2 linked regions of the Anolis sagrei genome follow. The protein of the gene in region 1 purifies or fractionates together with the protein of each later gene. This does not show direct contact. Links are inferred from orthologs where the notes say so. Each region holds a gene or a part of one and is shown in the gene's direction. Other genes may lie near its edges.

What was found. The genes of interacting proteins can lie anywhere in the genome.
Region 2: the proteins of CDK5 (region 1) and FIBP purify together in Homo sapiens (affinity purification with mass spectrometry; 7 studies listed by BioGRID and IntAct, counting the BioPlex papers as one, with this or other methods). This does not show direct contact. The link is inferred for Anolis sagrei from reciprocal best matches to the Homo sapiens genes CDK5 and FIBP.

Annotation. Positions count from the first base shown.
Region 1 is NC_090026.1:133,782,422-133,792,240, reverse strand, and holds the start of CDK5 (cyclin-dependent kinase 5), read left to right. Parts: upstream 1-5,299; 5' UTR 5,300-5,418; coding exon 5,419-5,455; intron 5,456-5,556; coding exon 5,557-5,645; intron 5,646-5,792; coding exon 5,793-5,860; intron 5,861-9,819. UniProt on the Homo sapiens protein: Proline-directed serine/threonine-protein kinase essential for neuronal cell cycle arrest and differentiation and may be involved in apoptotic cell death in neuronal diseases by triggering abortive cell cycle re-entry. Interacts with D1 and D3-type G1 cyclins.
Region 2 is NC_090032.1:10,255,605-10,265,862, forward strand, and holds the start of FIBP (acidic fibroblast growth factor intracellular-binding protein), read left to right. Parts: upstream 1-5,936; 5' UTR 5,937-6,016; coding exon 6,017-6,278; intron 6,279-8,398; coding exon 8,399-8,509; intron 8,510-10,258. Other genes in the region: DPF2 (zinc finger protein ubi-d4), read right to left, coding at 5,816-5,847. UniProt on the Homo sapiens protein: May be involved in mitogenic function of FGF1. May mediate with IER2 FGF-signaling in the establishment of laterality in the embryo.

The DNA of each region.
Region 1 (9,819 bases):
AATTTACTACTTCCCGGGACTGAGTCTACTGGAATCTCCTTCCTTGCAGGTTTGGAAGCAGAGGCTGCGTGGACGTCTGTCGGGAGGGATCGGATGGGGTCTTTTTGCCTGGGGAAATGGGTGGTACTAAGAAGGGGGTGGCGAGGGTAAACTTCAAGATGAATGGGCTCATTCATGTAATCCTAGAGTTGGAAGAGACCTGGTGGGCCACCCAGTCCAACTCCATAACACCTACCTCACACTGTGAGGCCTTCACACAGATTGAGAACTTTCTCCCACTGAGGTTTACCTCAGACTGACAGCTACTAAGCTATTAAGCTACAGCTTTTCATAGAATCCTAGAGTTTGAAGAGACTTGGTGGGCCATCCAGTCCAACCCCATCATGCCTTCCTCACACTGTGAGGCCTTCACACAGATTGAGAACTTTCTCCCACTGAGGTTTACCTCAGACGACAGCTACTAAGCTACAGGCACACCTGCTTATATAGAACTGTAGAATCATAGAATCATAGAATCAAAGAGTTGGAAGAGACCTCATGGGCCATCCAGTCCAACCCCCTGCCAAGAAGCAGGAATATTGCATTCAAATCACCCCTGACAGATGGCCATCCAGCCTCTGTTTAAAAGCTTCCAAAGAAGGAGCCTCCACCACACTCCGGGGCAGAGAGTTCCACTGCTGAACGGCTCTCACAGTCAGGAAGTTCTTCCTAATGTTCAGATGGAATCTCCTTTCTTGTAGTTTGAAGCCATTGTTCCGTGTCCTAGTCTCCAAGGAAGCAGAAAACAAGCTAGCTCCCTCCTCCCTGTGGCTTCCTCTCACATATTTATACATGGCTATCATATCTCCTCTCAGCCTTCTCTTCTTCAGGCTAAACATGCCCAGTTCCCTAAGCCGCTCCTCATAGGGCTTGTTCTCCAGACCCTTGATCATTTTAGTCGCCCTCCTCTGGACACTCTCCAGCTTGTCAATATCTCTCTTGAATTGTGGTGCCCAGAATTGGACACAATATTCCAGATGTGGTCTAACCAAAGCAGAATAGAGGGGTAGCATTACTTCCTTAGATCTAGACACTATGCTCCTATTGATGCAGGCCAAAATCCCATTGGCTTTTTTTGCCGCCACATCACATTGTTGGCTCATGTTTAACCTGTTGTCCACGAGGACTCCAAGATCTGTAGCTTTTCATAGAATCCTAGTTAGAAGAGACCTGGTGGGCCATCCCTTCCAACTCCATCAAGCCTCCCTCACACTGAGAGGCCTTCTCGCAGACTGAGACCTTACTCCCACTGAGGTTTACCTTAGACCGACAGCTACTAAGCTACTAAGCTACAGCTTTTCATGGAATCCTAGAGTTGGAAGAGAGCTGGTGGGCCATCCAGTCCAACCTCATAATGCCTACCTCACACCGTGAGGCCTTCTCACAGACTGAGACCGTTCTCCCACTGAGGTTTACCTCAGACCGACAGCTACTAAGCTATAGCTTTTCGTAGAGTCCTAGAGTTGGAAGAGACTTGGCCATCCAGTCCAACCCCATAATGCTTTCCTCACAGACTGAGACCTTTCTCCCACTGAGGTTTACCTCAGACTGACAGCTACAAGGTTACAGGCACACCTTCTTATATAGAAAGGCAGCTTTTCATAAAATCCTAGAAAGTTGGAAGAGACCTTTGGGCCAACCAGTCCAACCCCGTAATGCCTATCTCACACTGAGAGGTCTTCTCACAGAGTGAGACCTTTCTCCCACTGAGGTTTACCTCAGAACGACAGCTACTAACCTACAGCTTTTCATAGAGTCCTAGAGTTGGAAGAGACCTAGTGAGCCACCCATTCCAACCCCATAATGCTTTCCTCACACTGTGAGGCCTTCTCACAGACTGAGACCTTTCTCCCACTGAGGTTTACCTCGGACTGACAGCTACTAAGTTACAGGCACACCTGCTTATATAGAACTGCAGCTTTGTATACAATCCTAGAAGAGTTGGAAGAGACCTGGAGGGCCATCCAGTCCAACCCCATAATGCTTACCTCACACTGTGAGGCCTTTTCACAGACCTTTCTCCCACTGAGGTTTGCCTCAGACCGACATCTACTAAGCAATGGCACACATACTTATATATAATTGCAGCTTTGTATAGAATCCTATAGTTGGAAGAGACTTGGTGGGCCATCCTCGAGTCCAATCCCATTCTGCCAAGAAGCAGGGAAAGCACAATCAAACCATCCCTTACAGATGACCACTCAGCCTCTCCTTAAAAGGGTGGGTTCATTGTTGGTTTGTTTGTTTAAAAATGCAATACAACTGTGTTTTGCTCCTGACACGATAAATAAAAAAATTGCTGGACTTCCCTGGTGGGATGTCAAGCAGAGGCTGGGTGGCCATCTGTCGGGAAGGCTTTACCGAAGGAAAGAAGGAAGGAAAGAAGGAAGGAAAGGAGGGAAAGAAGGAAGGAAGGAAGGAAGGAAGGAAGGAAGGAAAGAAGGAAAGAAGGAAGGGAAAGAAGGAAGGAAGGAAGGGAAAGAAAGAAGGAAGGAAAGGAGGGAAAGAAGGAAGGAAGGAAGGAAGGAAGGAAGGAAGGAAGGAAAGAAGGAAGGAAAGGAGGGAAAGAAGGAAGGAAGGAAGGAAAGAAGGAAGGAAGGAAGGGAAAGAAAGAAAGAAGGAAGGAAGGAAGGAAGGAAGGAAGGAAAGAAGGAAGGAAAGGAGGGAAAGAAGGAAGGAAGGAAGGAAGGAAGGAAAGAAGGAAGGAAGGAAGGAAGGAAAGAAGGAAGGAAGGAAGGAAGGAAAGAAGGAAGGAAAGGAGGGAAAGAAGGAAGGAAAGGAGGGAAAGAAGGAAGGAAGGAAGGAAGGGAAAGAAAGAAGGAAGGAAGGAAGGAAAGAAGGAAGGAAAGGAGGGAAAGAAGGAAGGAAGGAAGGAAGGAAGGGAAAGGAAAGAAGGAAGGAAGGAAGGAAGGAAGGAAGGAAGGAAAGGAGGGAAAGAAAGAAGGAAGGAAGGAAGGAAGGAAAGAAAAGGAAGAAGGAAGGAAGGAAAGAAGGGAAAGAAAGAAGGAAGGAAGGAAGGAAGGAAGGGAAAGGAAGAAGGAAGGAAGGAAGGAAAGGAGGGAAAGAAGGAAGGAAGGAAGGAAGGAAGGAAAGAAGGAAGGAAAGAAGGGAAAGAAAGAAGGAAGGAAGGAAAGGAGAAAGGAAGAAGGAAGGAAGGAAGGAAGGAAAGAAGGGAAAGAAGGGAAAGAAGGAAGGAAGGAAAGGAAAGAAAGAAGGAAGGAAGGGGCGAGTCTGGATGCCCTTTGAGGGTCCCTCCTAGTTCCAAGATTCTTGAGAACTGGGGGGGGAGTGGGTGTGGGTGTGGGGTGGTTGCGCCATCCCTCGTGGGAAGGCAGGGGAGGGCGTGGCTAGGAGGGAGGGAGGGAGGGCCACGCCCAGAGGTTCCCAGGCTCCCTCCCAAGGCCTTGAGGGATGGGGGAGGATGGGGGTGTGGGGGTGAGTGGGATTTGCAGGGGTCCCCTGAGCATGTGCAGAGTGCCCTCTCGCTGGGATGCGCCCCTCCCTCCCTCTTTTCCACCTCTGGACGCAGGAGAGGCCGAAGGGAGGTCTGGGCCCCCTCCCCTCCTCTCCCCCAAGCCCCCCTCCCACTCTCAAAGCCCCTCCCTCCCTCTCTCAGTCACTCACTCACCAAGCAGGAGCGCCGCCGATGGAGGGAACCCCTTGCGTGCGTGCCTGCGCGTGCGCGCGCCCGCCTGCCTGCCTGCCTCACTCTGCCTGGCTGGCTTGGCCAGCTCTGGGCTTCAGGAAGGGCAGCGCATGCGCAAAGGGAAGGGAAGGAGGCGGGCAGGCCCAGGCCAGGCGCGCGCACGGAGGAGGAGGAGGGGACGGCGGACACGTGCGCGCCCCTAGAGGAGGGGGAGGAAGAGAGGGGAAAGGGGCGTGGCCACGTGAAGGGGGAAAAGAGGAGGAGCCAAGAGGAGGAGGCGGGGCAATAGTCATAATACTCTGTGGCAGGCCTGGGACTTTTTAGGGACTTGAGGAGGCGTGGCCACGTGGAGGAAAGGGGCGGAGCCAAGAAGAGGAGGCGGGGCAGTAGTCATAATAATAATAATAATAAAATAAAATAATAAATGTAATAAAATAATAATATAATAATAATAATACAATATAAAAATAACAAAATAATAATAATAATAAATGCAATAAAATAATAATATAAGAATAAAATATAATAATATAATAATAATAAAATAATAAATGTAATAAATAATAATATAATAATATAATAATAATAAAATATAAAAATAACAAAATAATAATAATAAATGCAATAAAATAATAATAAAATAATAAAATAAAATAATAAAATAATAGTAATAAAATAAAATAATAAATGTAATAAAATAATAATATAATAATAATATAATAATAGTAACAAAATAATAATAATAATAAATGCAATAAAATAATAATATAATAATAAAAAACATAATAATAATAATATAAAAATAAAATAATAAATGTAATAAAATAATATAATAATAAAAATAAAATATAATAATAATAAAAGTAATAAAATAAAATGATGAATGTAATAAAATACATTAAAATGATGAATGTAATAAAATAATAATATAATAATAATAAAATATAAAAATAACAAAATAATAAAAATAATAAATGCAATAAAATAATAATATAATAAAATAATAATAAAAAATAATAATAAATGTAATAAAATAATAATATAATAATAATAAAACATAATAATAATAATAATAATATAAAAATAAAATAATAAATGTAATAAAATAATATAATTATAAAAATAAAATATAATAATAATAATAAAGTAATAATAATAATAATAAAATAAAATGATGAATGTAATAAAATAATAATAATATAATAAAAATATAATATAATAATAATAATATAATAAAATAATGAATGTAATAAAATAATAATAATATAATAAAAATAAAATATATTAATAATAAAATAATATTAATAAAATAAAATAATAAAATGTAATACTAATAATAAATTATTATTATTATTACATTTTATTATTTTATTAAAGTTATTATTTTATTTTTATTACATTTATTATTTTATTCTTATTTGTTATTTTGTTATTAAATAATATTATTTAATATTATTTAATATTATTAATAATATTAATAATATTAGTAATAATATTAATAATGGCCACGCCTCCTCCCTCCCTATTAAATAATATTAGGGTTAGGGAGAGAGGCGGGGCCAAGAGGAGGAGGCGGGGCATCCCGATAAGCCCTCTGCAGCAGGCCTTGTGGCGCAGGGGCTGCCGGGAGGTGTAGTCTCCGCCCCTTTTTGCAGCCATTCAAGGCATGCTGGGAGTTGTAGTCTCCACCCGGTTGCAGAACACAGACAGAGAGAGACAGAGAGAGGGAGAAGATGCAGAAATATGAGAAGCTGGAGAAGATCGGGGAAGGTTTGTTTGGAGTGGGTGGGGGTCCCTCTTTGCATCTGCAGAAGGGGAGAGGAGGGGGCGTTCTTTGACCCCCCCCCCTGTGTCCCCCTCCCCCTTTTAAGGCACCTACGGGACCGTCTTCAAGGCCAAGAACCGCGAGACCCACGAGATCGTGGCCCTGAAGCGGGTCCGCCTGGACGACGACGACGAGGTGGGTGGGTGGGCTAGTTGGGGTGGGTGGGCTAGCGGTGGGCCCCCCTCCGCCTTCCCTTGCCCTTTTAACGCAGTCCCCAGGGAGGCGATGCGCGGGGAGCATGCGCAGAAGGACCCAGGCTGTGCTTCCTCCCTCGCCCTGCAGGGGGTGCCCAGCTCGGCCTTGAGGGAGATCTGCCTCCTGAAGGAACTCAAGCACAAGAACATCGTCAGGTGGGTCCCAGCTCGCCTCCTGATTGGTTCCCTGGCCCCTCGGGGGTTTGGGACTCCAACTCCCAGCATTCCTCGCAGCTTCACGCCCTTTCCTTTCCCCCCTCAACCCCACAATGCCTTCCTCACACTGAGAGGCCTCCTCACAGACTGAGACCTTTCTCCCACTGAGGTTTACCTCAGATTGACAGCTACTAAGCTACAGGCACACCTTCAGGGGTTTGGGACTCCAACCCCCAGCATTCCTTGCAGCTTCACACCCTTTCTTTTTCCCCCTCAAATCCATAATGCCTTCCTCACACTATGAGGCCTCCTCACAGACTGAGACCTTTCTCCCACTGAGGTTTACCTCAGATTGACAGCTACTAAGCTACAGGCACACCTTCAGGGGTTTTGGACTCCAACTCCCAGCATTCCTCGCAGCTTCACGCCCTTTCCTTTCCCCCCTCAACCCGATAATGCCTTCCTCACACTGTGAGGCCTCCTCACAGACTGAAACCTTTCTCCCACTGAGGTTTACCTCAGATTGACAGTTACTAAGCTACAGTCGCAGCTTCACGGCCTTTCCTTTCCCCCCTCAACCCCATAAGGCCTTCCTCACATTGTGAGGCCTCCTCACAGACTGAGTCCTTTCTCCCACTGAGGTTTACCTCAGACTGGCACCTACTAAGCTACAGGCACACCTTCAGGGGTTTGGGACTCCAACTCCCAGGATTCCTCGCAGCTTCACACTCTTTCCTTTCCCCCCTGTGAGGCCTCCTGACAGACTGAGACCTTTCTCCCACTGAGGTTTACCTCAGACTGACAGCTACTAAGCTACAGGCACTCCTTCAGGGGTTTGGGACTCCAACTCCCAGCATTCCTCGCAGCTTCACGCCCTTTCCTTTCCCCCCTCAACCCCATAATGCCTTCCTCACACTGAGAGGCCTCCTCACAGACTGAGACCTTTCTCCCACTGAGGTTTACCTCAGATTGACAGCTACTAAGCTACAGGCACACCTTCAGGGGTTTGGGACTCCAACCCCCAGCATTCCTCGCAGCTTCACGCCCTTTCTTTTTCCCCCTCAAATCCATAATGCCTTCCTCACACTATGAGGCCTCCTCACAGACTGAGACCTTTCTCCCACTGAGGTTTACCTCAGATTGACAGCTACTAAGCTACAGGTACACCTTCAGGGGTTTGCACTCCAACTCCCAGCATTCATCGCAGCTTCACGCCCTTTCCTTTTCCCCCTCCACCCCACAATGCCTGTGTCACACTGTGAGGCCTCCTCACAGACTGAGAGCTTTCTCCCACTGAGGTTTACCTCAGATTGACAGCTACTAAGCTACAGGCACATCTTCAGGGGTTTGGGACTCCAACTCCCAGCATTCCTCGCAGCTTCACGCCCTTTCCTTTTCCCCCTCAACCCCATAATGCCTTCCTCACACTGAGAGGCCTCCTCACAGACTGAGAGCTTTCTCCCACTGAGGTTTACCTCAGATTGACAGCTACTAAGCTACAGGCACATCTTCAGGGGTTTGGGACTCCAACTCCCAGCATTCCTCGCAGCTTCACGCCCTTTCCTTTCCCCCCTCAACCCCACAATGCCTTCCTCACACTGAGAGGCCTCCTCACAGACTGAGACCTTTCTCCCACTGAGGTTTACCTCAGATTGACAGCTACTAAGCTACAGGCACACCTTCAGGGGTTTGGGACTCCAACCCCCAGCATTCCTTGCAGCTTCACACCCTTTCTTTTTCCCCCTCAAATCCATAATGCCTTCCTCACACTATGAGGCCTCCTCACAGACTGAGACCTTTCTCCCACTGAGGTTTACCTCAGATTGACAGCTACTAAGCTACAGGCACACCTTCAGGGGTTTTGGACTCCAACTCCCAGCATTCCTCGCAGCTTCACGCCCTTTCCTTTCCCCCCTCAACCCGATAATGCCTTCCTCACACTGTGAGGCCTCCTCACAGACTGAAACCTTTCTCCCACTGAGGTTTACCTCAGATTGACAGTTACTAAGCTACAGTCGCAGCTTCACGGCCTTTCCTTTCCCCCCTCAACCCCATAAGGCCTTCCTCACATTGTGAGGCCTCCTCACAGACTGAGTCCTTTCTCCCACTGAGGTTTACCTCAGACTGGCACCTACTAAGCTACAGGCACACCTTCAGGGGTTTGGGACTCCAACTCCCAGGATTCCTCGCAGCTTCACACTCTTTCCTTTCCCCCCTGTGAGGCCTCCTGACAGACTGAGACCTTTCTCCCACTGAGGTTTACCTCAGACTGACAGCTACTAAGCTACAGGCACTCCTTCAGGGGTTTGGGACTCCAACTCCCAGCATTCCTCGCAGCTTCACGCCCTTTCCTTTCCCCCCTCAACCCCATAATGCCTTCCTCACACTGAGAGGCCTCCTCACAGACTGAGACCTTTCTCCCACTGAGGTTTACCTCAGATTGACAGCTACTAAGCTACAGGCACACCTTCAGGGGTTTGGGACTCCAACCCCCAGCATTCCTCGCAGCTTCACGCCCTTTCTTTTTCCCCCTCAAATCCATAATGCCTTCCTCACACTATGAGGCCTCCTCACAGACTGAGACCTTTCTCCCACTGAGGTTTACCTCAGATTGACAGCTACTAAGCTACAGGTACACCTTCAGGGGTTTGCACTCCAACTCCCAGCATTCATCGCAGCTTCACGCCCTTTCCTTTTCCCCCTCCACCCCACAATGCCTGTGTCACACTGTGAGGCCTCCTCACAGACTGAGAGCTTTCTCCCACTGAGGTTTACCTCAGATTGACAGCTACTAAGCTACAGGCACATCTTCAGGGGTTTGGGACTCCAACTCCCAGCATTCCTCGCAGCTTCACGCCCTTTCCTTTTCCCCCTCAACCCCATAATGCCTTCCTCACACTGTGAGGCCTCCTCACAGACTGAGACCTTTCTCCCACGGAGGTTTACCTCAGATTGACAGCTACTAAGCTACAGGCAAACCTTCAGGGGTTTGGGACTCCAACTCCCAGCATTCCTCGCAGCTTCACGCCCTTTCCTTTTCCCCCTCAACCCCATAATGCCTTCCTCACACTGTGAGGCCTCCTCACAGACTGAGACCTTTCTCCCACTGAGGTTTACCTCAGACTGGCAGCTACTAAGCTACAGGCACACCTTTGGGGGTTTTGGGCTCCAAGTCCCAGCATTCTTCGCAGCTTCACACCCTTTCCTTTCCCCCTGTGAGGCCTCCTGACAGACTTTCTCCCACTGAGGTTTACCTCAGACTGGCAGCTACTAAGCTACAGGCACACCTTCAGGGGTTTGGGACTCCAACCCCCAGCATTCCTCGCAGCTTCACGCCCTTTCCTTTCCCCCTGTGAGGCCTCCTCACAGACTGAGACCTTTCTCCCACTGAGGTTTACCTCAGATTGACAGCTACTAAGCTACAGGCACACCTTCAGGGGTTTGGGACTCCAACTCCCAGCATTCCTCACAGCTTCACGGCCTTTCCTTTTTCCCCTCAACCCCATAATGCCTTCTTCACACTGTGAGGCCTCCTCACAGGCTGAGACCTTTCTCCCACTGAGGTTTACCTCAGATTGGCAGCTACTAAGCTACAGGCACACCTTCAGGGGTTTTGGACTCAAACTCCCAGCATTCCTCGCAGCTTCACGCCCTTTCCTTTCCCCCCTCAACCCCATAATGCCTTTCTCACACTGTGAGGCCTTCTCACAGACTGAGACCTTTCTCCCACTGAGGTTTGCCTCAGACTGAGAACTACTAAGCTACAGGCACACCTGCTTATATAGAACTGAGTTGGAAGAGACCTGGAGGGCCATCCAGTCCAACCCCATGATGTGAGGCCTCCTCACAGACTGAGTCCATTCTCTCACTGAGGTTTACCACAGACCGACAGCTACTAAGCTACAGTACTGCAGCTTTGTATAGAATCCTAGAGTTGGAAGAGACCTGGTGGGCCATCC
Region 2 (10,258 bases), on another chromosome or scaffold:
CGGAAAAAAATTCATTCTACACACATTTCCGCACGATTAAGACTAATATGATTTTGGGAACAGGTGGGGATTATACTATTCAGCTCCAAATAAGGCCTACGAATATGCCCCATCTACCTTCCTCTCCAGCAATTCTGACTAGCAGAGACCTTCTTCTTATGCGAAGGTGTTCTTTTCTTTTGTGCACCACATCTGATCCCTCCTGCTATCACTACCTTTCAATTCCCCTAAATTCACCCACCAGTATTTTTCCAACAGTCATTTTGTACCTGATTTGTACAAAAGGAGTAAAAACAATTTAATTTTCCCCAAATGCTTTGATTCTGCCCACAAATGCTCTCGGTCCCACCTGCGTCACAACTCTGAACATGAGGAAGAACTTCCTGACTGTGAGAGCCGTTCAGCAGTGGAACTCTCTGCCCCCGAGTGTGGTGGAGGCTCCTTCTTTGGAAGCTGGATGGCCATCTGTCAGGGGTGATTTGAATGCAATATTCCTGCTTCTTGGCAGAATGGGGTTGGACTGGATGGCCCATGAGGTCTCTTCCAACTCTTTGATCCTATGATTCTAAGTACGTTTGGTAGGGACGAGAGACAGGGCCTTCTCAGTGGTGGCCCCTCAGCTGTGGAACGCACTTCCTATAGATATTAGATCGGCCCCCTCCCTGTTGACATTTCGGAGGAAAGTGAAGACCTGGTTGTTCGAGCAGGCATTTGAACAGACAGTGTAACGAACATAGGAATATGGAGCAATTGGATGATGAGACTGGATTTCAATCTGCGAATGAGATGTTTTATATTAACTGTATGCTACTGTTTTAATTGTTTTAAACTGTTTTATAATGTTTTTGAGCATTGAATTTTGCTTTTGTTAACCGCTCTGAGTCGCCCAAGGGCTGAGAAGAGCGGTATACAAATATAGTAAATAAATACAAGTTTCTCTACTACATTCTCCTTCCAATGTTCCGGCGTTTCTCAACCTGGGGGTCGCCAGAGACCATCAGAAAAATCAGTATTTTCTGTTGGTCATGGGGAGGGGAGGAGAAGAAGAAAAGAGAGAGGAAAGGATGAGAGGGAAAGCAACTGAAGAAAAGAAGAAAGTAAAAGAGAATGGGAGAAGGAATATGAAGGAAAGGAGGAAGGAAAAAGTAAAAGGAGACAAGAGAAAGGAAAGGAAGGAGGAAGACGGAGTAATGAGGGAAAGCAACTGAAGAAAAAAAGAAAGGAAGAGGGAGGAGAAGTGTTATGAAGGAAAGAAAAAAAAGGAAAGGAGTGAGGAAGAGGGAGTAATGAGGGAAAGCAACTGAAGAAAAGAAGAAATGAAAAGAGAGGAAAAGGAGTATGAAGAAAAGGCGGAAGGAAAGAGAAATTAGACATGAGAAAGAAAGAAGGGAAAGAAAGGAAAGAAGGAGAGGAGGTCTGAGGGAACTGAAGGAAGGAAGGAAGGAAGAGGGAGGAGGAGTATGAAGGAAAGGAGGAAGGAAAGAAAGAGAAAGAAGACATGAGAAGGGGGGAAGGGAAAGGAAGAAGGAGGTATGAGTGAAAGTAACTGGAGTCCCCTGGGAAGATAGGGCAGAATACAAACTATTATTATTATTATTATTATTATTATTATTATTATTATTATTTGAAACACAACAAGATGAGTTCACAGCAGACATTCCGATGGCTGTTGTATTGGATCACATGTCGGACACTTCCCAAGTGTCTAGGACTGTATGATGTATCAGCGAATAATGCGTGCAGATCCCAGTAAGGTGGCCTTCTGCAGCTGGCAGATGGTAATTTTGTCAGCACCAATTGTGTTTAAGTGCAGACCAAGGTCTTTAGGCACTGCAGCCAGTGTGCCGATCACCACTGGGACCACCTTGACTGGCTTGTGCCAGAGTCTTTGCAGTTGTTGTTGTTGTTATCATTATCATTATTATTATTATGGAAGGAAGGAAGGAAGGAAGGAAGGAAGGAAGGAAGGAAGGAAAAAAGGATGGAAAAGAGTAAGGCAGATGGAGTAATGAGAGAACACATCTGAAGAAAAGAAGAAAGGAAGAGGGAGGAGAAAGAGTATGGAGGAAAGGGGAAGGAAAGAAAAAGAAGAAGAGGAGGGAAGGAAGGAAGGAAGGAAAAGAGTGAGGCAGATGAAGTAAAGAGGGAACACATCTGAAGAAAAGAAGAAAGGAAGAGGGAGGAGAAAGAGTATGAAGGAAAGGGGAAGGAAAGAAAAAGAAGAAGGGGAAGGAAAGAAAGAAGAAGGAGGTAAGAGGGTAAGTAACTGAAAGAAGGGAGATAGAAAGAGCGATGAGAATGAGTATGAAGGAAAGATGAAAAGAAAGAAAGAAAAAAGCAGGAGAAAGGAAGGAAGAGAAAGAAAAGAAAGGTAGAAGAGGGGATATGAGGGAAAGCTAATGAAGGAAGGAATAAAAAAGAGAAGGAATATGAAGAAAGGGGGAAGAAAAGAAAAAGAAAGGAAGCAAAATGAAAGGAAAGAAGGGATAGGGAAGGCAACTAAAGAACAGAAAAGAGAGGGAGAAAAAGTATGAAGGGGAAGGAAAGAAAGAAAAAGAAGACAAGAGGAAGGAAGGAAGAGAAAGAAAGAAAGAGAGAAAGAAGGAAGAGGGGTTATGAGGGAAAGCAACTGATGAAAGGAAGAAAGGGAAAAGAGAAAGGGTATGAAGGAAAGAAAGAGAAAGGGCCCTTCCACACAGCCCTATATCCCAGAATATCAAGGCAGAAAATCACACAATATCTCCTTTGAACTGGTTTATCTGAATCCACACTCAGATAATGTGGAATTTTCTGCCTTGATATTCTGGGATATAGGGCTCTGTGGGAGGGCCCAAAGATGACATGAGAAAGGAAGGAAGGAGAGAAGAAAGGAGGTATTAGGGAAAGCAACTGAAAGAAGGAAGGAAAAGAAAGAGGGAGAAAGTATGAAAGGGGGAAGGAAAAAGAAAAAGTCAAGAAAAAGGATGAGAAAGGAAAGGAAGGAAGAAAAAGGAGGTATGAAAGAAAGCTACTGAAGGAAGGGGAGTGGAAAGAAAGAGAAATAAGACATGAGAAAGGAAGGAAGGAAGGAGAGGGAGGGAGGAAGGAAAGAAGGAAGGGAACCAACTGAATGAAGGGAAAGAGAGAGGGAGAAGGAGTATGAAGGAAAGGGAGAAGGAAAGGAAGAGAAAGAAGGCATGAGAAAAGAAGGAAGGAAGGAAGGAAGGAAGGAAGGAAGGAGAGGGAGGAATGAGGGAAAGCAAATGAAGGAAGGAAGGGAAAGAGAGGGAGAAGAAGTATGAAGGAAAGAGAGAAGGAAAGAAAGAGAAAGAAGACATGAGAAAAGAAGGAAGGAAGGAAGGAGGGAAGGAAGGGGAGGAAAGAGGGAAAGCAACTGAAGGAAGGGAAAGAGGGAGGAGAAGAAGTATGAAAGAGAGAAGGAAAGAAGGAGAAAGAAGACATGAGAAAAGAAGGAGGGAGGGAGGAAGAAGAGGGAAGGCTGAGGGAAAGCAACTGAAGGAAAGAATGGAAAGAGAGGGAGAAGAAGTATGAAGGAAAGAGAGAAGGAAAGAAAGAGAAAGAAGACATGAGAAAAGACGGAAGGAAGGAAGGAAGGAAGGAAGGAAGGAAGGAAGGAAGGAGAGGGAGGAATGAGGGAAAGCAACTAAAGGAAGGGAAAGAGAGGGAGAAGGAGTATGAAGGAAAGAGAGAAGGAAAGAAAGAGAAAGAAGACACGAGAAAAGAAGGATGGAGGGAAGGAGGGAGAGAAGGAAGGAAGGAAGGAGAGGGAAGAATGAGGAAAAGCAACTGAAGGAATGGAAAGAGAGGGAGAAGGAGTATGAAGGAAAGAGAGAAGGAAAGAAAGAGAAAGAAGACACGAGAAAAGAAGAAAGGAAGGAAGGAAGTAGAGGGAAGAATGAGGGAAAGCAACTGAAGGAAGGAAGGGAAAGAGAGAGGGAGAAGGAGTATGAAGGAAAGAGAGAAAGAAAGAAGGAGAAAGAAGACATGAGAAAAGAAGGAAGGAAGGAAGAGAGAGGAATGAGGAAAAGCAAATGAAGGAAAGATGGGAAAGAGAGAGTGAGTATGAGGTATGAAGGAAAGAGAGAAGGAAAAGAAGGAAGGAGGGAAGGAAGAAGACGGAGGAATGAGGGAAAGCAACTGAAGGAAGGAAGGCAAGGAGGGAGAAGAAGTATGAAGGAAAGAGAGAAAGAAGACATGAGAAAAGAAGGAGGGAGGGAAGGAGAGGGAGGAATGAGGGAAAGCAACTGAAGGAAGGGAAAGGGAGGGAGAAGAAGTATGAAGGAAAGAGAGAAGGAAAGAAAGAGAAAGAAGTCATGAGAAAAGAAGGAAGGAAGGAAGGAAGGAAGGAGAGGGAGGAATGAGGGAAAGCAACTGAAGAAAAGGTGGGGAAAAGAGAGAGGGAGAAGAAGTATGAAGGAAAGAGGGAAGGAAAGAAGGAGAAAGAAGACATGAGAAAAGAAGGAGGGAGGGAGGGAAGGAAGGAGAGGGAGGATTGAGGGAAAGCAACTGAAGGAAGGAAGGACAAGAGAGAGGGAGAAGGAGTATGAAGGAAAGGGAGAGGGAAGAAAGAGAGAGAAGACTTGAGAAAAGAAGGAAGGAAGGAGAGGGAGAAGAAGTATGAAGGAAAGAGAGAAGGAAAGAAAGAGAAAGAAGACATGAGAAAAGAAGGAGGGAGGGAGGAAAGAAGGAAGGAAGGAAGGCGAGGGAAGAATGAGGGAAAGCAACTGAAGGAAGGAAGGGAAAGAGAGAGAAGTATGAAGGAAAGAGAGAAGGAAAGAAAGAGAAAGAAGACATAAGAAGGAAGGCAGGAGGGAGAGGGAGGAATGAGGGAAAGCAACTGAAGGAAGGAAGGGAAGAGAGGGAGAAGAAGTATCAAGGAAAGGGAGAAGGAAAGAAAGAGAAAGAAGACATGAGAAAAAGGAAGGAATGACGGAAGGAAGGAGAGGGAGGAATGAGGGAAAGCAACTGAAGGAAGTAAGGGAAAGAGAGGGAGAAGAAGTATGAAGGAAAGAAAGAGAAAGAAGACATGAGAAAAAGGAAGGAAGGGAGGGAGGGAGGGGAGGGAGGAATGAGGGAAAGCAACTGAAGGAAGGAAGGGAAAGAGGGAGGGAGAAGTATGAAGGAAAGGGAGAAGGAAAGGAGAAAGAAGACATGAGAAAAGAAGGAGGGAGGGAAGGAGGGAGGGAGGGAGGAAAGAAGGAAGGAAGGAAGGAGAGGGAGGAATGAGGGAAAGCAACTGAAGGAAGGCAGGGAAAGAGAGAGGGCGAAGGAGTATGAAGGAAAGAGAGAAGGAAAGAAGGAGAAAGAAGACATGGGAAAAGAAGGAAGGAAGAAGGAAAGATGAAGGAAAGAGAGAAGGAAGGAAAGAAAGAGCTTCAAAGAAAAAGCAAACCCAGGCAATGCACACTTTAGTATACACCAACAACATCCCTTCCACCTCAGGACACCATTCATTGAGGTGGAGTTGTCCTTCCTCCATTCCTGAAGGCCTCCTTTTCCCTCAGGCCCGCCTCAAGTAACAAAAGTGTTATTTCCCTTCCACAAACCTTACTTTGGAAACTTTAAGGCACTGACTCACCTGTGTTTCTCTCCTCTGGCTCCACTATATCCTGCTCATATGTATCATAAACTTTAGGGCCAAACAATGAGAAGAAAAAAGACCCAACAACTCTCCTCCTTCTCCCTCAACAAAGATTTCCCCTTTCCCCCCTGCGAATGGAATGGGCCCGCCCTCTGCTCCCGCTTCGCAAAGGCTCGGGCTGTACCACTCCTGACGGAAAAGAGGGGGGAACACAAGAGGAAAATTTCCACTCACAGCTTCACCACATTCTGGACCACCGCCGCCATCTTGCCCGCCTCAACTGCGCCTGCGCGAACCGCCCGCTCGGGCTCTCATGAGGGATGCTCGCGCACGGCACGGCGCATGCGCTCCGTGGCTGCGCATGACCCTTCGCTGTTCCCAGCTCATGCTGTTCAATCCCGAGAACGGGGTGTAGTTTGTGTGCGCATGCGTTGAATGATCTCATTTTTTTTTACGCCACAGGAGGCTTCGACGGATGCCCTGAGCGACCAAAAAAAAGACAAGACTGCGTTTCGCTATGAATGCGGTTGGCTGTGGAATCTTAAGAGGAGAGGTTGCAGTGCCAGGAGCCAAGATGGCGCCTGGAGAGTGACACTCGGGGTCTGCGCATGCGTGAGCCCCAGTTTGGCCAGGAAGAGGGTCAAAAGGTCTTATTTACTACAGAGAAAGGTGGTGGTTGTGGTTGAGAGGAGAAAAGGTAAGGAGAGAGAGGGGCAGAATGTATTGTCGAAGGCTTTCATGGCCGGAATCACTGGGTTATTGTAGGTTTTTCCGGGCTATAAGGCCATGTTCTAGAGGCATTTTCTCCTGACATTTCGCCTGCATCTATAGCAAGCATCCTCAGAGGTAATGAGGTCTGTTGGAAGTAGGAAAAATGGGTTTATATATCTGTGGAATGACCAGGGTGGGACAAAGGACTCTTGTCTGCTGGGGCTAGGTGTGAATGTTGCAATTGGCCAGCTTGATTAGCATTCAATGGCTTGGAAGTGCCTGGGGGGAATCTTTTGTTGAGAGTGATTTTCTGTGCCTGTTTGTTTCCCCTCTGTTGTTTTGCTATTGTAATTTTAGAGTTTTTTTTAATACTGGTAGCCAGATTTTGTTCATTTTCATGGTCTCTTCCTTTCTGTTGAAATTGTCCTCATGCTTGTGGATTTCAATGGCTTCTCTGTATGATGGAAAGAGAGAAGGAAAGAAGGAGAAAGAAGACATGAGAAAAGGAGGGAGGGAGGAATGAGGGAAAGCAACTAAAGGAAAGATGGGAAAATAAAGAGGAACAGCTTTCATGTGATATTTTAGGAAAAGCTTGAAAACTTGGCTGTTCCACCTTGCTTTTGAGGAATGAACAATAATGCCATGCCTGTCCCAGTGTATACTCGTCCCCTTGATGCACTTCCTAGCAAGTAATTGGTCAGTCGTAAGGCCGAACAGGGAATAGGGTTACAGCCTGTGTTAGACGGGGTTACACTCCCCCTGAAAAAGCAGGTTCGCAGCTTGGGAGTGATCCTGGACTCATCGCTGAGCCTGGAACCCCAGGTCTCAGCGGTGGCCGGGAGAGCTTTTGCACAATTAAAACTTGTGCACCAGTTGCGCCCGTTCCTTGGGAAGTCTGATCTGGCCACAGTGGTCCACGCTCTTGTTACATCCCGAATAGACTACTGCAACGCGCTCTACGTGGGGTTGCCCTTGAAGACGGTTCGGAAACTTCAACTGGTCCAGCGAGCGGCAGCCAGGCTGCTCACTGGGGCGACATACAGAGAGCACACCACCCCTCTGCTGTGTCAGCTCCACTGGCTGCCGGTTCAGTTCCGAGCCCAATTCAAGGTGCTGGTCTTGACCTACAAAACCCTGTACGGGTCCGGTCCAGCGTATCTGTCCGAACGTATCTCCCTCTACGTCCCACCACGGAATTTAAGATCATCTGAGGGGGCCCTGCTCTCGACTCCACCGCTTTCCCAAGCAAGGCTGGTGGGGACGAGGAGCAGGGCCTTCTCAGTGGTGGCCCCCCACCTGTGGAACTCACTCCCAGTGGATATCAGGGCATCGACATCACTCCTGTCCTTTAGGAGAAAGGCAAAGACGTGGTTGTGGGACCAGGCCTTCGGGCAATCTGCTAACTAGATAGGACAACCAGGCAATTAGGACCGGCAGGACTGATATATGTGGACTGATAAATGTGGAAGAAAACTCTGAACCATGAGATAGCGAACACTGACTGCCAAGAAGGAAGAAGCGGTTTGTATCGGTTTGTATGAAATTTTATTGGTTTTATTGGTTTTAACGGGTTTAGATGCAATGTGTTGTTGTTGTTGTTGTTTGCTAATTTGTTATTTTGTTTTATTGCTTATTATTGATGTATGCTATGGGCATCAAATTGTGCCTTGGATGTGTAAGCCGCCCTGAGTCCCCTTCGGGGTGAGAAGGGCGGGGTAAAAGTAAACCAAATAAATAAATAAATAAATAAATAAACTCCAATGACATTGAACATCGAGAAAACCCAAGTGGTCTTCCAGCAGTCACCAGCCAATCCCTCTCCAATGCCAGGAATACAGCGTAACGGTGTAACGTTAGTAAATGTGGACCATTTCTGCTCTCTTGGCAGCCACCTCTCCACCAAGCAGTGCTTCTTATAAGTCAGAGTACAGTCCAGAGTAACTCCCAGGTATTTGGGTGTACTGCAGTGCTCCAGAGAGATTCCTTTCCAGGAAATCCTCAGAGCTTGAAACCTTTGATTGTGGGAGTTGAGGTCCAAAAAACCTGGAGGGATGAAGTTTGCCCATGCCTGATGTAAATGAATTATATTTTACCTTCCTTTTGCAGCTTCCTGTTCCATCTTCAGAGGCAACATGGCCAGCAATCTGGACATCTTCGTGGGGAACACTACTCTCATCGATGAGGAGGTCTACCAGCTCTGGCTGGATGGCTATTCAGGTGCGACAGGTGTCTCAGGTGTCTTTCTTTGTTTTGGGGCTATTTATTTATCGTGTCATCAGCAACTATACCATTATATTACAATTCTAACAGAACAAAACAAACACACAGATTAAAAAGAAAAGAAAAAAAAACACAGATTTTGCAAACTTGGTAGTTGGTTAAATGTCCTTTGACCAGTATCTGGCCACTTGGAGTGCCTCTGGGGTTGCCGCAAGAAGGTCCTCCATGGTGCATGTGGCAGGGCTCAAGGTGCCAGGTGGTCAGTGGTTTGCTCTTCTCCACACTCGCATGCCGAGGATTCCACCCTATAGCCCCATTTCTTAAGATTGGCTCTGCATCTCTGCAACTCTTATTATTTTCAGTAATAAATGGGTTACCTCCTGCTGTAAACATATGAGAATAGAGCATAAAGCCTTGATTGAATGATACCCACCAAACTGACCAAGGCTTAACCTTTGTTATCCAGCCTGGTGTCCTTGCCCTTAGCAAAACTATAAGTTACTATCTCTGGGGAGAGGGTGGGGGGGGGGGTCACGTTCGACTTCAGTTGTAAGAAGGTCCTCCATTGTCAGAGGTGGCCCTAGGTAATTTTCAATGGTAAGCAAACAGTATTCCCCCCCCCCCCCCAACCAATCACTGATATATATTTTCCTTTCATCGTGGGAGTTCTGTGTGCCATATTTGGTTCAATTCCATCATTGGTGGAGTTCAGAATGCTCTTTGATTGTAGGTGAACTATACATCCCAGTAACAACACATATGTCAAGGTCTATTTTCCCCCAAGAGCGCCCCTGTGCAAAATCAACTATGCCGCAAATGCTTACTTTGTGTAATGGGTTGAGCCGCCCCTGTCCATTGTGCATGTAGCGGGGCTCAGACTGCATTGGAGTAAGTGGTGTGTGGTTTGCACTTCTCCGCACTCGCATGCCGTGGATTCCACTTTGTGGCCCCATTTCTGAAGGTTGGCTCTGCATCTCGTGGTGCCAGAGCACAGTCTGTTCAGAGCCTTCCAAGTCGCCCACTCTTCTGAGTGCCCAGGGGGGAGTCGTTCATCTGGTATCACCCATGGATTGAGGTGCTGGGTTTGGGTCTGCCACTTTTGGACTCTCGCTTGCTGGGGTGTTCCAGCAAGTGTCTCTGTAGATCTAAGAAAACTATGTCTTGATTTAAGTCATTGACGTGCTGGCTGATACCCAAACAAGGGATGAGCTGGAGATGTCTCTGCCTTGGTCCTTTCACTATTGGCTGCTACTTCCCGGCGGATGTCAGGTGGTGCAATACCGGCTAAGCTGTGTAATTTCTCCAGTGGTGTAGGGCGCAGACACCCTGTGATAATGCGGCATGTCTCATTAAGAGCCACATCCACTGTTTTAGTGTGGTGAGATGTGTTCCACACTGGGCATGCGTACTCAGCAGCAGAGTAGCATAGTGCAAGGGCAGAGTTTTGGGGCTAAACCTGATCTCTCAATGTGGCCATATATTGCTTGGGAATTGCAGTCCAGCCCACCTTGAAGGCGCAAGGTCAAACAAGACTCATTGTGAAGCAAGATTTGCCTTAAAATACTCTTGGCTTTGGATTCCTGTATACACACACATACATACATATATATGTATATTTGTGTGTGTGTGATTTGATTGTATACTGTGTGTGTATATATATCTATATAAATAAAAATGTAATGTTCGTTTGTGGGATTCACAGAACTCAAAAACCACTGGACGAATTGACACCAAATTTGGACACAA